3 linked regions of the Caenorhabditis elegans genome follow. The protein of the gene in region 1 purifies or fractionates together with the protein of each later gene. This does not show direct contact. Each region holds a gene or a part of one and is shown on either strand. Other genes may lie near its edges. The genes, in order: brd-1, syp-1 and syp-2.

Evidence for each region.
Region 2: the proteins of brd-1 (region 1) and syp-1 purify together in Caenorhabditis elegans (affinity purification with western blotting, with the first as the bait; one study listed by BioGRID). This does not show direct contact.
Region 3: the proteins of brd-1 (region 1) and syp-2 purify together in Caenorhabditis elegans (affinity purification with western blotting, with the first as the bait; one study listed by BioGRID). This does not show direct contact.

Annotation. Positions count from the first base shown.
Region 1 is NC_003281.10:6,884,646-6,891,363, reverse strand, and holds brd-1 (BRCA1-associated RING domain protein 1), read left to right. Parts: upstream 1-1,859; 5' UTR 1,860-1,868; coding exon 1,869-1,930; intron 1,931-1,973; coding exon 1,974-2,033; intron 2,034-2,082; coding exon 2,083-2,251; intron 2,252-2,294; coding exon 2,295-2,470; intron 2,471-2,478; exon of another isoform or gene 2,479-2,561; intron 2,562-2,682; exon of another isoform or gene 2,683-2,773; intron 2,774-2,787; coding exon 2,788-2,847; intron 2,848-2,895; coding exon 2,896-3,073; intron 3,074-3,126; coding exon 3,127-3,435; intron 3,436-3,560; exon of another isoform or gene 3,561-3,648; intron 3,649-3,729; coding exon 3,730-3,943; intron 3,944-3,985; coding exon 3,986-4,186; intron 4,187-4,238; coding exon 4,239-4,336; intron 4,337-4,378; coding exon 4,379-4,494; intron 4,495-5,446; coding exon 5,447-5,606; intron 5,607-5,655; coding exon 5,656-5,716; intron 5,717-5,765; coding exon 5,766-5,908; intron 5,909-5,987; coding exon 5,988-6,089; 3' UTR 6,090-6,157; downstream 6,158-6,718. Other genes in the region: K04C2.5 (INSulin related), read left to right, coding at 62-181, 235-320; K04C2.2 (DNA polymerase V), read right to left, coding at 379-569, 617-704, 749-940, 997-1,197, 1,244-1,435, 1,488-1,589; med-2 (GATA-type domain-containing protein), read right to left, coding at 6,337-6,718. UniProt on the Caenorhabditis elegans protein: Constituent of the CeBCD complex that possesses E3 ubiquitin-protein ligase activity.
Region 2 is NC_003283.11:16,402,484-16,408,328, forward strand, and holds syp-1 (uncharacterized protein), read left to right. Parts: upstream 1-1,790; 5' UTR 1,791-2,348; coding exon of another isoform or gene 2,349-2,663; 5' UTR 2,664-3,279; coding exon 3,280-3,583; intron 3,584-3,638; coding exon 3,639-3,814; intron 3,815-3,862; coding exon 3,863-3,974; intron 3,975-4,026; coding exon 4,027-4,538; intron 4,539-4,588; coding exon 4,589-4,672; intron 4,673-4,842; coding exon 4,843-5,124; 3' UTR 5,125-5,218; downstream 5,219-5,845. Other genes in the region: F13A7.14 (BZIP domain-containing protein), read left to right, coding at 892-1,392, 2,349-2,663; F26D2.3 (Core-2/I-Branching enzyme), read left to right, coding at 5,480-5,594, 5,643-5,797.
Region 3 is NC_003283.11:5,534,652-5,538,275, reverse strand, and holds syp-2 (Biogenesis of lysosome-related organelles complex 1 subunit 1), read right to left. Parts: upstream 1,790-3,624; 5' UTR 1,508-1,789; coding exon 1,451-1,507; intron 1,404-1,450; coding exon 1,245-1,403; intron 1,196-1,244; coding exon 944-1,195; intron 901-943; coding exon 727-900; 3' UTR 559-726; downstream 1-558. Other genes in the region: cox-16 (Cytochrome c oxidase assembly protein COX16 homolog, mitochondrial), read left to right, coding at 2,056-2,196, 2,297-2,362, 2,413-2,553; C24G6.8 (putative peptidyl-tRNA hydrolase 2), read left to right, coding at 2,546-2,776, 3,147-3,398, 3,520-3,624.

The sequences.
Region 1 (6,718 bases):
TTACCAGCATACATTTTTAAGATACAAGAAATTAAATATTGTTCCAACACTTTTTTTACAGGCGGTGATCCATTTTCTGATGCTGTCTGGCTTCCTGTACTCGATTTATGTTCTATCGAGTGTGAAATAACATCCGAATATTGTGTGGAAAATGAGGAACTTACACAACAATGCAAGAAATGTATGTTTTCGATGTTTAGAAGAAAGCTTGAGTTTTAAAAAATCTTTTTTCAGTACCGGAAGATTGCCAGGCTCTTCTCCGAAAAGCAATCAAACAAATTCAGAGACATATTCGATCACAAAAGCCAGTTTACCTTTAGATAATTTCTATCTCACTAATTTTTGTAAATTTGAACAATAAAGACTCTTGAATATTACCTTTTTACTCATCAATCTGAATTGTCCTTTTCCACGTGTAGCGGTCTCCATTCGATTCAAAACTTCTTTAGTAAATACTACAACAATTGATTTCACATCGCCTCCAAAATCAAAGAATTGAGTGACAATCGTGAGAATTCTATCGAAAACTTTCGTCTCGTTGCTTGAAAGGGCCCATGGCTCGAGAACTTCTGAAAATGAGAATTTATAAAAAAAACTTTTCAAAAGTATAACTTACTCAGGTACATTTTATCAAAACCAGATGATTCAACTGATGCTTTGATGAGAAGTGGAAGAAATACTTGAACTGTGGCGAAGTCACAGCGCTGAAAATAAAGTATTTATAAAAATTTTAAAATAGAAAACTAACCTTTAAAGCAGCCAAAATTTTAGGATACTGATCATCAGAAAATTGAATAGATCCGTCTTTCTTTACAAACTTTGCGTATTTTGCAACCACTGTTGAATGAGAATTACGAAGGCGAAGTGCCAGGTAGACATTTTCCGGTGTGAACTGAGAGCTGAGACCTTCCAAATTCATTTCGATGGCTGGGGATACACTCTGAAATTTAAAAATTAATATAGATTTGTTTTTGTTCAAACAGTAAATTGATTTACCTTTTGGAAAACACTTTCTTTTGTCTTTGTAGCCAAACTGCATAGAAGGTTAATCTGTGAAAATGCCAAGCTTGGAGCAAAGTCTCTGATTTTCTTCGAATGCTCAACAATTTTTGTAGCTTCTGCTTCTTTGAGTTTTCTGGTTTGACAATATGTGACAAGAATAAGATAATGTCCAATTGCATGTCCGGTACCAACAGTCTGAATCGAAACATTTAGTACAAATAAAGGAACTTACAATCCCAACCTTTTCTGCCAGGTCCATCTTTTTATCTGCAACGGCCAATATTTTGTCGAGTTCCCATGATTCGCCTGCTTTTGTCATTAAAATAGTACCCAAAGCGGTTGTATATCCCAAACGAACAGCAGCACGAGCTGAAGCACATCCAGAAATAAGACGTTCAATCACATATGTGTTGAGCTCGTTATCGGATAATTCCTAAAAAAATAACACTTTAATTAGGCATTTATTTCAGCTACTTTTTTCCTACCTCTTGTTTGCTTGAAAGCTGTCTAACTGCTCCTTTTCTGACTAATGGATCGAGCTCAGCAAGCTTTGAAATAATATCGAGTAATTCACTTGGCGGTCTCATGCTTAAAACTTAAAATTATAATTAAAAAGAGAATAAATTGACGAGAGGATCATTCTCGTGAATTTTCCAGACCAAGTAAACTGTATTTTTCTATAAAACACAAAAAATAAATGTAATTTTAGTTTAATGAAAGAAAAAGAAATAGAAGTAAAATATTTTGTTCGTAAAATAAAATGTATTCTGTGCGCACGCACCACACCTGACGCGCAAACAAACAAGTGCGATTTTCGAATTTTATTCTTTTCCTGTTTGATTTAATTATTGTTTCAGCGTCAAATAATGTTTGAAAACACTAAAAAAGCATTGGAAACGTTTCGAACAGCTATCGAGTGTGTTAAATGGTAAGTTGTTGTACAAGATTTTGCCTCTTAAATAAAATTTCAGCAAAAAACCGAGGGGAGACTTGCAATATCTCGGATCATCTTGCAAACATGCTTATTGCTGGTAGGTATTGCAACCTAATAAATTGTCAATAACTTCAGTTTATGTTCAGGGAATGTATCGCCACATTTCAACAGAAACCGTCTGGAAAACGCTCTTCAGTGGCTCGACACATGTGTCCGAGTTGTGCTTTCCCACTAGACACATCCAAAATCACAGAAGCTCATATGCTGAAAACGTGCTTTGATACTTTGTCTGAACTAAACGACCTTTTACAGAAAGTAAGTCAATGGTGAAAAGCTCGAAAATTAAATTCTCATTTAGGTCGGAACAACATCTCTAACTCAAGCAGAGTTTGCCTGTACACAAAACATTTTTAACAAAGAAAAAACTCCAGCTGATGCCGTAGAGAAATTCCTGGAGACGCAAGCTCATATGCCAGACGAGATGGGACAACTTGGTGAAGAGGATGATGATTTGATGTGTAAAGATGAAAACCGGTAAGTCGAAAAAATCTGCGTTCGGGGGGAATCGAACCCCCGTCGAATGCTTGGAAGGCATCCATGCTGACCATTACACCACGAACGCGACATATCGGGGATATCTTTCCGAGAAAACGATTCCCGTCATGCTTCTTCTACAAACCTGATGCGGTCTATTTGGTGGCTTCAAGTAGAAATGTCTCTTCATTTAATAGCTGGTTTCCCATGCCGCGTTCGTGGTGTAATGGTCAGCATGGATGCCTTCCAAGCATTCGACGGGGGTTCGATTCCCCCCGAACGCAGAACTTTTTTTCATATTTTCCCAGTAAATTCAGGGAAAATTCAAACTCTCCAGAATTGGATATATTCCACGACTACAGCAAAGAAGCTTCTCCGTGAGTTTGTTACATTGCTTCAATTAATTGAATTTTATTTACTTTTAGAACGCGTAATTCGACAAAACGCCCTTCAACTGTCAGTGTTCATGAGAGAAAACCCAAAAGGTCATCGATACTGAAAACTTCCGTCAAAAATGAACCGGCTGCGCCTGTAGTTGATCTTTTTGCATCGCAAGTTCCGCAGAGAACTCATCAAAATGATTTACTGACGCCGTTTATTGAGGTATGACAATTTCACTTTAAAGACGCTTCAGAACTTTAACGGAAATTCTTCAGCGTCGCTCAACTGCTCCAGCAGCAACTGGTGTTGCAACGTATGCTCAAGCTTTCGGAAGTAGCAGTAATCCAGTTAAAGCCGAAATTATCGAAGAAGATATTTTCTCGAAAGCGATTCCTCTCACAAAACGGCAAGCTTCAATGAGTGCGAGCGCCAAGAAACAACCAAAATTGGAACCTGAAGAACCAGAAGAAGTACCATCGACGTCTAGAAGTCGTAAAAATTCGATTAAATCCGATAAAATCGAACGACGATCTCAATCACCGATGAGTTTTGGAGAGAAGTCGATGAGTGTGAAATCAGAGCAAGTGAGTGACTTCAATAAAAGAGTTTTCGGGCGTTCGTCTTTCTACTCTGTCACGCTCAACGTCCACATTATCTTGTTGTCTGCGCCTCTGTCCCTTACTTAACAAGTCTTTGCATCACAGCACGCATGGCCTCCTTAGCTCAGTTGGTAGAGCGTGAGACTTTTAATCTTAAGGTCAGGGGTTCGAGTCCCCTAGGTGGCTTGACTTTTTTTTTTGAAAATTGAACTTGATCTCTACGCCTTCATTCCAATTTTCACATTTTCGCAAACTTTTTGCAATTTTTTAAATGTTCAGCGTCGCAGTTCTTATGGTACTCGTCGTGGTGAAGCTGTCCTGGTCAATTCAATTCGCAATAATCGTATTCCTCAACTTCGAAGTGCTGTAGAGGCAGGAACGTGCGTAAATGAGAAAGAAGACGGAAAGACACCACTTTACGTGGCAGTTGAGAATAGCTCATTGGAAGCTGTTAAGATACTTGTTGAAGCGGGTGCAGTTATTAATGCTTCATGTAAGAAACAACTTCTATCAACTTTCTTGACGAAGAATTCAGGCGGCTCAACATTAGAAACAACGCTTCACGAGGCTGTTCGCCGTCAAAATACTCAAATTGTTGAATATCTTTTATCGAAAGGTGCCAGCATCAAAATTCGAAATATTGCTGGAAAAACTGTCGAAGAAATGGCTAAAAGTGATCCGAAAATTAGGAAAATAATCGAAAAATTCAAGACTGAACAGAGAGTTTTACAGCCTGGTAAGAAATTTTTTGACAATTTTATTCTTCGTGATAAAAATTGAATTTTCAGTCGTCGCCCCTCCAAAATCTCGTCTTCATTTCGTTCAACTCATAGATGAGAAGATGCTCACTGAATCTGAAAAACGAAAACTTCCCGGAAAAATCAATGTAAAAACAATTAATTTTTAAAAATAAAATAAATTTATTCAGATAGTTCCTGCTGATATGGATTCTCCGACGCATGTGGTAGTCACCGTTGATTTGAAAACTCGTGTGCTCAATATTAACAAGGAGCATATTGGAGAAATTTTAAAAGCTATCATAAAGTAGGTTTTTAAAATTATCCTAAAAAGTGGGAGATAGTCATTTTGGGATTTTTAATGTCAGAAAATAGACCGTAATGACAGACTATAGCTGTTAAGAAATTAATTTTTTCGAAATTTTTCAAAAAATGGGCTACTTATTTTTAAATTCTCGCGCAAATAAATGGAAGGCATTTGTTCGTAAGAAAACGCATGATAATCAGAAAGAAATTCGCTGAAACTTCAAAATTGAATTGAAAGTCGATAATTTCACATTTATTCATCTTTTTTTTTGCTTAAAAAATTTATGAAAATCTGACAATCTTCGGAACATCAAGCAAAAATCACGAAAAGCGTTCGAATTTAGCCATTCATTTGCACGAGAGTTCAAAACTAATCAGAACTTATTATTTTTCCAAAGCTGAAATAATTTTTTAACAGTTATATTCGGTAATTATGGTCTATTTTCTATCATTCCTTCAAATCAGGTCGCAATGCATTACATATTTATTGGAGATAAAAAGATAATTAGGCACGAACACAGGCTCCTGCCACACATTTTTTTCCAACTGGACAGTCAAAAGTACAAGGTTCATCAGCATTTTCGTCAGTGATAACAACTCCACCACTTGCATGATTTGAAAAAAGACATTGTCCATAAACACAAAGCCTATTATCCGAGCAATCCGAATCAGTTCGACATTCTGCTTTCTTTGCATTAACATAAATTGAAAGAAGAAGAAGAAGGAAACACTGCAAAATTAGTTTTGAATATTAGCAAAAGTAGTATATAACTCACCAGAAACACCTTCATTTCAGTTTCACAGTGGCTCGATTGTATTATAAAATGCGTTTCCCTGTCTAGTTATAGACTGATCCCATGGGAAAATTGCAAACAATCGCAAGGGTGCAGTATGAGAGCCAAAAAAATCTATGTGAAAATATGAAATTTCAAAGCGGAAATTCATACTTTCAGATCGGGAATGATAGTTAGTCGAGATTGGCTGAGAGCGTGCATTATTGATCCATCGAAAGTCGATGATGATCGTTCTTATATGGTTCAGAAAGTTAGATGGATGGAAGGTGAAGTATTTGAAAATACTATTGAACAATGGAAGAAGACAATCACTAAAATGGTACGGATTTGATTTCCACTAAAGAAAAAAATACAACCAAATTTTTCAGCAACCAAAATTGTTCGCCGGTTGCAAATTTTTCATTCCAAAGCCAAAGTATAACTTCCTCGGTACGATTCTAATTTACAGTATTTTAATTTTTTCAATTTTCAATTTCAGATCGCCCAGCTCTTTTTGAAATTATTCGATCTGCCGGTGGTCAAGCTGCAGCGAGGGAGCCCATTATTGACGAAAAAGATCCACCGCCGTACCATAATGCCAACTTGAAACCAAACTTTGTGCTCTACAGCTTGACACATGATGTAAGTTTAACGAAGGAGTTTTCCTGTTATTATGGATTCGGTAGTTTCAGTTTGGTGACATTTTTATTTCTCTTTACAGATAGGAGACAAATTCCGCGACTGCACAAAGTACAATCTTGTCAGCGAGCAGTGGTTAATAGAGGCGATTCTTGGATGCTCCATCACAACACCACCACATTAACCATTTTCCGTTTTAAAATATTTTCTTTTGCGTTTCTATTGTAAAATTGCAATATGAATGATTATTTTTTGAAGTGTTATTTTATACACAACGGCATCCAATCCATGCAATTAAAGTTATGATGTAATTAAAATCGAGAACAAGATATAAATATAAGTTATGAGATCATATTAATTAAAAACAATTTACCGGCTTAAAACAAGAAAATTACAATTGAGTTATACAATTTACAATGATACAATTTACATTAAGAAGAATCTACACCATTCGTTTCCTGTACCTTTAATTTTCTTTTTTGATATTTGTTAACGGCAGTGACTGGACGAGTCTCATTATATTTCCGTTGATAAATAAAACAAGCATTACATTGAATTCCTTCCTTTGATCGAATATTCCTCCAACGAATTGTTTCAGTTACTGAACAATTTGAGCATTGAAATGACTTCTTATTATCAGAATTGCTCGGTGGAGTTGAACTTTGAGTAGAGGTAGATGGAGATGTAGATGGAGTAGAAAAATGAGTAAACGTGGTGAAATGGGAAGAATTAGGACTTCCAGTAGTTGGTGAAATATTTAAAGATGAAGAATCCATTGCAGTTGGATAATAAGAAGCATAAGTATTGACATAG
Region 2 (5,845 bases), on another chromosome or scaffold:
TTTTCCAGTTAAAAATCTATTGAAATCCCTATTTTCCGTTGAAAATCCAAAAAAAATCGGCAAATTTCCGAGAAAAATTCTTTTTTTTTAAACAAGAAACCAGAAAAACCAGGTTTTCCAATAAAATAACTTTAAAAAATTCCAGTTTATCATGTAAAAATCAAGAAATATTCGAATTTTCCGATAAAAAAGCGGAAAATTTCTGATTTTCCCTCTATAAAACCAGAAAATATTGACTTTTTCAAGAAAATTCTTTGTTTTCCTCAAAAAACCTTAAAATCCTGATTTTTCACGGAAGAATCCAGAAAATGTTCAGTTTTAATAAGAAAAATCTAGAAAAATCCGGTTTTTCCACTAAAAAGCGGAAAATTTTTGATTTTCTTCAATGAAAACACAAGGAAAATTCGAATTTTCCAGTTAAAAATCTATTAAAATCCATATTTTCCGCTGAAAACACAAAAAAAGCCAATTTCAGAATAAAATTCAATTTTTTAACAAAAAAAAACGGAAAATCTAGATTTTTCAACGAAAAAATCCAGAAAAACCGGGTTTTCCAATGAAATAACTTTAAAAATTCCAGTTGATCATGTAAAAATCGAGAAATATTCAAATTTCCCGATAAAAAGACAAGAAAAATGGTTAATAGTCAGAAAAATTCCATTACAACAAAAATATACCAAAAAAAATTCGAGTTTTCCAATAAAAAATCAGAAAAATGCCTTTTTTTTCAATTCAAAAGCGCGATACAAATCCAAAAAGCCAAAAAAATGTTTTTTTTTAAATTTTTCTGTAAAATCTGAAAAATTGTATTTTCTCATAAAAAACAACCTGAAATTTTCAATTTTTTAAAATAAAAAACCCAATTTTTTTAAAAAATCAAATATTTTTCAGCTACAACCCGGTCCATCACCAAAACCCTATAGATTTACTGAATCTGAACCTCCTGTTCCACCACCACCACCAACTACAACAACTCCAAAACTTCATCACGATGAAACTCTCGACCTTGACGCGACATTTGATCAACCAAATCTCAAAAGGCGACGAGTTCACCTCGATCGTTCTAGTCCAGAAAATCAATATCCAAGTGAAGATTCGATTTACGAGTTCACCCAATTTACACTACAAAAATGGGAACACGAAGAGTCTCGGCGACAAGAAAAACGGAAAAGAAAGCGAGTTGCTGAGCGAATTGAACGGGAAAATTATGTGCATAATGCTATGGAAAATTTCAATTTAAATATGCCGAGCGTGTCGGATGTGGAGAAGCTTCGCCGAGAACGAGATCAATTTAAGAAGGAAATGGAAAAGTATCGGAGCAAATGTGAGAAGCTTGAGAAGAGATGTGAGCAGTTGGAGATGGAAAAGAAGAATTCGGTGCCAGTTTTTCAGGTAAAAATTTGCAGTGAAATTGGACTATTTTCGCAAATTTTGGCATTAAATCGTCAAAAATTGTATTTTATGATTAAAAAACTATACATTTAGCGATTTTCAGCGAAATTTTGCGATTTTCAGCAAGAATTTTAGCAAATTTGAATGCTAAAAATTAGCAAAAACGGACTAAAATTAAGAATTCCAGCAAAAAAAAACTGCACACTTCTCCTAGAGGGGTACAAAAACTGCGTGAAACCACGCCCATTTTTCTGTGCGGCACTGTTGGTTTTTTTTCGATTTCGACGCAAATTTGTCTTTCTTTGCCGATTTTTTTTTGCGTTTTTGATGTTGAAGAAATTTTAAATTCTTAAAAATACACTTTTCATGTTATTTTCCACTCGGAGAGGGAATTTTGCGTATTTTCAAATTTTTTTTCCTAAAAAACGTCAAAAATACAAAAAAATACCTTCTCCGAGTAAAAATCTACATGAAAAGTGTCACAATTAAAAAAAAATGGATGAAAAATACGAATTTCCTTCGAAATTCAAAAAATTACAAAAGTACGGCACGGAAAAATGGGCGTGTCTTAGCGCCAAGTTCGCGGTAATTCAAATTCCAAAAATTGTCAGAGCAGTTCTGTCGATTTACGCGGCCCGTGTACTCCTCGTGGAGAAGTGTGCATTTGTTTTCAGAAGATCCTGCATTTCTTGGCTTAAACCCCTACGGTAGCCGGTCTCGACACGAAAATTGTTGTAAAGTGCAAAACAAGTATGCGCCTTTAAGGATTACTGTATTTTCAAAATTTCTTCATCGATTTTTCATAGTGTTCCGAATAAATTTTTAAAAATCTAAAATAAAATTCCCATTTTCCGTAAAACTACAGTAATCTTTAAAGGCGCACACCTTTTCAAATTTAACAAAAATTTTAAAAAATCACAAAATTTCACGTCTCGGAAATAAATAAAAATTTTCAGCCATTCAACAGCAATTTCTACTTTGGACCGGCGACAGCTTCAACTCTTCAACCATTCCAACTACAACCTCCGGCTCTTCAATTCACACACTCGTTCAACTTCACCGCATTACCCTCTACTTCTGCACCATTCCCACCGGCTCCTTCTGCTGCTGCTCCAGCACCTTCCCCGTTCAGCCAAATGGGACCTGTTGGACCAATGGCTCCACGATATACTGATCCGATCACCGTGTACGATTACAATGATGATGATGATACTTCGTTGAGTGATCTGTCGAATAGTTCGAAAAGTGATATTTCTGATGATCTCAAGTGAAACATGAATAATCTACTTATAGAAATGTGTGAATATTTTTTTTTGGATTTCCAATGCGTGTAACATTCGTCTTTTTATGTTTTTTTTCAAATTCACAATTAAACAATAAATCATATTACTTGTATTTCGAGGAGCTGGACACAGGGTCTTGACACGACAATTTTAAATATTTACTTACGGACTTTTTTCAATAAATAATTATATTTTCAATGAAAAGCTAATGTTCGAAATCACAAAGGAGCACAACCAATTCAAAATCAGCGCTGATTTTTTGTTCAATTTTCCGTCTTTTTTTCCTGAATTTTACGAAGTTTTCTGCAGTTTTTGTCATGTTTTACAGCAAAAAAACCATATAATCTTGAAAAAAATAGCTGCAACAAAACGCGCTCCATTGACAAAATCTCAAGTTACTGTAGGCAATCTGCAAATTTGCGCCGCGGTGTTTGCGGCCTCCGCTCATATTAAAAAAAATATTTTAAAAATTATTCTTTAAATTTTAAACCGTTTTACAAAGTTTTTTTCTTCATTTTTCAATCTTTTTTCTTCGATTTTTCCAATTTTTAATATAAATTTTTGCCGAAAATGCTTATAAATATTTATTTTCAGGTTTCTGGCAATGGATAACTTCACAATTTGGGTTGACGCTCCCACTGAAGCACTTATTGAGACACCAGTTGATGACCAATCGTCAGGCTTTCTTCGCGATGAGATCATGCTCACACAGCAATACGTTCTTGAGAAGCTTGACGAGCAGACTGAGCAAGATAAAGGCGAGCAAACTGATGAGCAGGCGGCGAAATCTCGCGAGCTGGCTTCTCAAGTTCAAACCGAGTCGCAACGAATGCATGATATAAAGAAGGAGCTTAACGTATTCAAAGAGTCGTGCAAGTCGATCGAATTGCAACTTGTCTCTGTCAAAAGTGAGAAAATGTTCAATTTTTCTTGAAAATCATCACTGAAAATATCCAATTTCAGAAAGCATCCCAGATCGCACCAAGCTACAATCAGGCGAAAAGGAGAAAAGTCTTAATGAAGCGGATTATGAGTTATCCAAATTCGAAGATTTGTTGTCTAGTCGTGAAAGAGAGCTCACTAAGATAATTCAACGCGAACAATCTCGTAATAACGGAGAAGCTAAAAATGAGTGCAAGGTTAGTTATTGAATATTCTTTTTTAAATTATCAATTGAATATTTTCAGAGGCTTCGTGAAATGATCATGGCAGCCAAGCAGAAACATGAAAAATTGGTGGAGCTGAATTCGTCGTGCGCAATGATGCAAGCGAAATACGATGAAATGATAATTCGCCAAGGTATTAAATTCTTCAGTAAATAGAAAATATGAAATGTTCTTCTAAATTTCAGATCAAGACCGAGAAGCGCTCGAAGAGGGAAAACTGAATCTCAAAGCATCAGAGGAGAAGTTGGAGCAAATGAGGGAAGATTGCGTCACACTCCGTTCTCAGCTATTTCAATTCGAAGCAAGCCGTTCGCAAGACAAAACGACTGAAATTGAAAAGGAAATCGAAAAGATCACAGCGGAGACTGCAAAAGTTCGAGTGGAAAATGAACAGCTGAAAGCTTCCCTCTCAAAGATCAAGGAGGATACGAAAATATTAAAATTGAAGTATGAGGCACGTCAACAAGAAGACATCGAGAATAAGAAATTGATTGAAGAGCGCAAAAGATCAATTATCGAACTTCTTCGTCGAAAAATTGCTGAAAAGAAGAAATCAAATACAGTTAAAGGATCAGATCGAAAGAAAATCACCAGTCTCAAAAAAGCAATTGCTAAAGAACAAGAGAAGCTAGAGAAAGGAAAGAAGGAACTGGAGCAGCTCCAATCTTCAAAAACGGAGAGTGATCTTGAAGAAGAGGTTATTCCTTAAATATATAGTACTGTAACCAATAATTTTTTATTGTTCAGATCTCTGCTATGCAGTTGGAAATCAATGACTATGATAAGCAAATCAAGGACGCCGCCAAGGAACACGAGAAGTTGTTCAATCAAGTAATAATAATTTTTGAATTTAATACAGAGTTATTTGTAGACTCAAAATGTGCCCAAAAGAACCAATTTCGCTATGAAACAAGAAAATTTTATTGTGGTTCAAAATTTACCCCATTTTTCGATAGTTTTTTCAACGGAAATTGTTCACTAATTTTTTTTCCATTTTTCAGATTAAAGAACAACGTGCTGCAAACGGCGATCAATTTAACGACACCATCGATATCGTGGAATCCGACTATTCAGATCGAGTAGTTCCGCCGCAGCCAAGTGTAGAAGTTACTCCAGTACACCGACAAGTGTCTCATGATGTATTCTCGGCGCCATTGATGACGAGCACACCACTTACCGCAGCTACCAGACCGTTGAAACGAACTCGTGCGGCCGATCGTCTTAAAACGAGAGCCGAAGCTCATACTGCAGATGTTCGCCGAAAGAGAGGAGGGAAGAAATAATGTGTGTGTGGGGAAGAAACGACTATGTACCATTTCAATCTTGTGCTATTTTTTTTTGTGTTTTTAGAGTTTTATATAAAGTAATTTGCGGCAACGAGAGAGAAAAAACCAGATTTCAATTCTTCTCGAATTGCAGGAAGAATCTTTTTTCAAAAAAACTCCCCGACAAATTGGCCAATTTGAACGGGAATTGTTCTCGCATGTCTTGTCTAAGTTCAAACACTTTTTTTTTTAATTCCCACAGGTCAACACACAATGCACGCCTTCCACTAGACATTCCTCCAATTTTTCCGCCCTTTTAATCTGATTTTTTTTGCAAAGGCGGCGGAAGACTTTATCTACATACTTACCTCAAATGTCTCAACAAAGACAATTGCCCTATTCGGTTATTCTACTTATTTTGGGATTTACTTTTATAATTTACTTAGTTTCTCCCACAACACTCCTCAATCTGTTCTATGGAGAATTTGGTGAGATCTTCGAGCTTCTTGTTTCTCTGAAAAGTACATTTTCTTTAGATCCTTATCTATCGGCGGACCGGAAAGTTGTCGTTTACGAGAAAATGATTGAGGCATTGAGGAATATGGATAAATATTGTAAAGATCGAAGGTTCTATTGCAAACGGCCCGAAACTCGACATGTGGATTGCAGACGGGTCCTTCGAGGGGATAAGGTTGGCAGCCGACATCTTACTGGTTTTTATTTTATTTGTTACTTAGAC
Region 3 (3,624 bases), on another chromosome or scaffold:
CATTTTCAGAACTTTGTGTTATCGTAATACAGTAACTCGTTATCCGCGTGGCGAGACCCATGCGCATAAGATATCGCGTTGATTTTTCCATGTTTTTTTCTATGTTTTGTATTTTAATTTGTCGGGAAAAAAATCAATAATCGAAGAAAAAATGAAACAAAAATCGATAAGTACAGCCGGAAAACGTGAAAAAAATCTTCTTGGCAAACTTTTTTCTACAAATCAGTAAAAATTTAGAAAAATTCTATAATTTTTTTACACTATTATTCGGCATAATAAGATTTTTTCTGTTATTTTTGGGAAAAAAAAACACAGACGCTACTCCACAAATTGCATAAGTATTCAAAAAAAACTTACCGTTCATACTTTGTGAAACATTTATCGAGTTACAGTCAAAAAGAGTAAAAGGAAACTACGCCATCGGACAATTGGTGGATTTGCATAAATTGATATTTTGAAATTCAAATTTTTCAAGTTTTTGTTTCATACGTTTCATTTTGTCCTGTGTCCTATGCGGCGGAGGCGTAATGCATTCTGTGAAAGTTGAGTGATGCGAGTTTTTAAACAAAATTTTATTCATTTTGGTCAAATATGGATTTTGGATTGTTTTTTTTTCAAAAAAAAAAGTTCCCATATTTGAGAAAGCAATACATGCAATACGATGGACAAACATTAAAATGATACATGTCATGTAATAAAACAAGGAAATTGAATACAACAGATGATTTATAACTTGTCAGCCCACGGCTCGAGCGTTTCAACCAAATCCAGAAGTTTGTCGTAATGAGCAGAGAAATCTTCCGAGAACCCATCGTTGTTGATTTTTGCATTATTGATTATTTTTATAGCCGCCTGAACATCATTGAGACAAGTGGAATGATGCGATCTGGCGTCAACGCGCTGAAATTTTTAAATATATATTTACTAATTATCTAATTCTTACATTTTCGAGTGTTTTAGACCAATTGTTGGCTTTCTCGACGAGCTCTTTTGTTTTTCCTTCTAGAGAAATGAGCTTCTTTGACTGTTTCTCCATTTGGTCGCTGAGTTTACTTTCGGCTAATGCCATATTTGCGATACGTTCGATTGAATTTGCCAGCTCCATTGTCAGATCTTGTGTCATTTTCGCCTGCTTGATCATTTTGTGTTCAATTTCAGAAACGTCATCCAATATGTCGCTTTGCTTACTCACAAGCTGAAATAAATTTTAATTGATTTATTTTCTGAATAACATTGGATCATACTGAAATTATATCGGCCACATCATGAGCAGGTTTCGATTTCTTCGGCGTGGAATGCATAGTTCGAAGATTTTTCGCTTTTGCAGGTTGTTTAGTTTGGGCCGCCACAGTTACTGCAGCTGTTTTCTGTGAAGAAGACACTGGAGATGCGAAGCTGACTCTCTAAAGATTCAATATTTTTAGTGAACCAATAAGAAGACTTCAATTACCCGGTCATCTTGGGGTCCTGGCCGCTTTTTGAGCGAAGATCGATGGGCAGAATTCATTCAAAAATTCTCAGAAGCGAAGTTTAAAATTAAAAAAAAAGAATAATGGAATCGAAATGGAATTTGGTAAAGAATTCACAAAAACTACGGTATCGGTCATTTTCCATGTGTTGGTCTGGCAACGCTGTGGAATTATTTTGTAATGCGCCTTTAAAGTTACAGTAGTACATTTTTAAATGCAGATTTAATAGTTTTCAAGGATTTGTTTATTGAACCATCTGCTTTTCAATCATGAAATAATTTAAGACTTTTTAATGCTTTCAGTTTACAGCTGCCTCGCATGCATGTATCTCAAGAATGATCACTTGTTTTCTTGATTTCTCTGTTGTAACGACGCTCCGCTCTAACGCATGCGCATGTTGTTTAGCGAATCGCGGACGCAAACCAATTTTTATTTTCTTTCTCAATTGCCCCTCTTTGTGCTCTTTTTCGCGAGTTATTTCCGATATTTCACAATTTATTAATACACTTAGCTCACGAGGGCGACAGTTCATGAATGTCTCTTCGAATTTCTAAATCTTTCAGTCGTGCGGTTCGTTTAAACGTTTATGAGCCGTCTGAAGTTTGTTCGTGTCGGGCTTCCATTTTTCGCAATCGTCTTGGGTAGCGCGTACGGACTTCACTTTTTCCAACAAGTCCGATTCGATTTTCGAAAAATCAAGCAAGAAGACGATAATCTTGAGCTCTTGGTGCGTTTCGTTTCTAGAAAATATCTCAACCTATTAACGTGTGATTTCTACCCTTTTCTAATTTTTTTTCTCATTTAAACTCTAAATTTATTGTTTGCAGAGGTCAGATTTGACAAGAAGCGGTCTGCGTCTTCGCGAAGGAGTCACTGTCGAGTCAGTTTATAAAGTGGGTTTTTGAAAAAAAAAAAAGATCTTTAATAAATACATAGTTTTAAGGAAGTCGCTGAACTTGACACGGACAACTGGGAAAACATCCGAGGTCCAAGAGATACTGAAGATCTCACCGACTATAACCTAATCAAAAAGCAGCAACAAGAAGCTAGTCGCAAAGTTCGAGAGTTGAAATCTAATGTCTGAAAACATCCCCGACATTGACCCCAACGAGCTCCTTCCAAACGCGCCAGGACAACATCAGGACCTTGGAGTTGATAATCCTCCAGAACCAGATAACGCTTCAATCCGAGCAGAGAGAGGTTCACCGACTCCGTCGTCCGTGACAGTCGACAACGCACCCTCCCTGCCGGATCGGTCATTCTCGCATTTACCAATTAACGATCCTTTCAGCGGAGAAATTCCAGAAGTATGTATATACTCACAGACTCCTCGGCGCGATATTACGGCGCGTAGTTGTCTTCTGTAAATCCCGATATTTTCACAATTTTCAATTGATTTGAGTATCCATATCCGCGGTAAAGCTGATATTTCTCTATTAAATAAAAGAAAAATAAACACCTGCAGAATGTTTTCAATGAGCAACCCTTAATGTAAAAAATACTCGTACAAAAACCATAATTTTTATAAGATACTATTATAATAGTAACATTATGTGTTTATGAACATATTTTAAATGAAAGTTAGCAAAAAACAAGAGCTAGAAATGATTGAAAGGCGCATCCAAGGAGGCTGTGAATTCTAGCTTCAATAATCTGATAATAAAAAATAATTTCCAGGTGCCGATCCCATCATCTGCAATCTCAATCTCCAGTCAAGCTTTATCTGATCCAGTTCCCACACCATCCGACACTTCAAGACCTGGAATTCTTCGCAACGACGAGCAAGGTTCGACATCCAGTCATCCAGTCGATCCACAAGAACCTAACGAAGTTAACAACGAGTATTTGGCGCATCTTCTCGATTTAGGATTCGACGAGTACACTGCAGTTCTTGCGTTGAAAAGAACGAATAGCGCCGGCGTTGAACAGGTGCCGTTTATTTCTTTATGTTTTGCGCTAGAACACATTAACTTTAATTATGTTAATAACACGCATGAAATTATGTTTCATGTATATTAAACAGATCTCATAATTGTCTCTCATATTTCAGGCAGTTGCTTGGATTGTTGAACGTTCCAACGAAAGCGATTTCGACGAGGATTCGAGTAGCAGTGAGAACGAAGCAGACGAAGAAATGGGAGCTGTTCAATCAGTT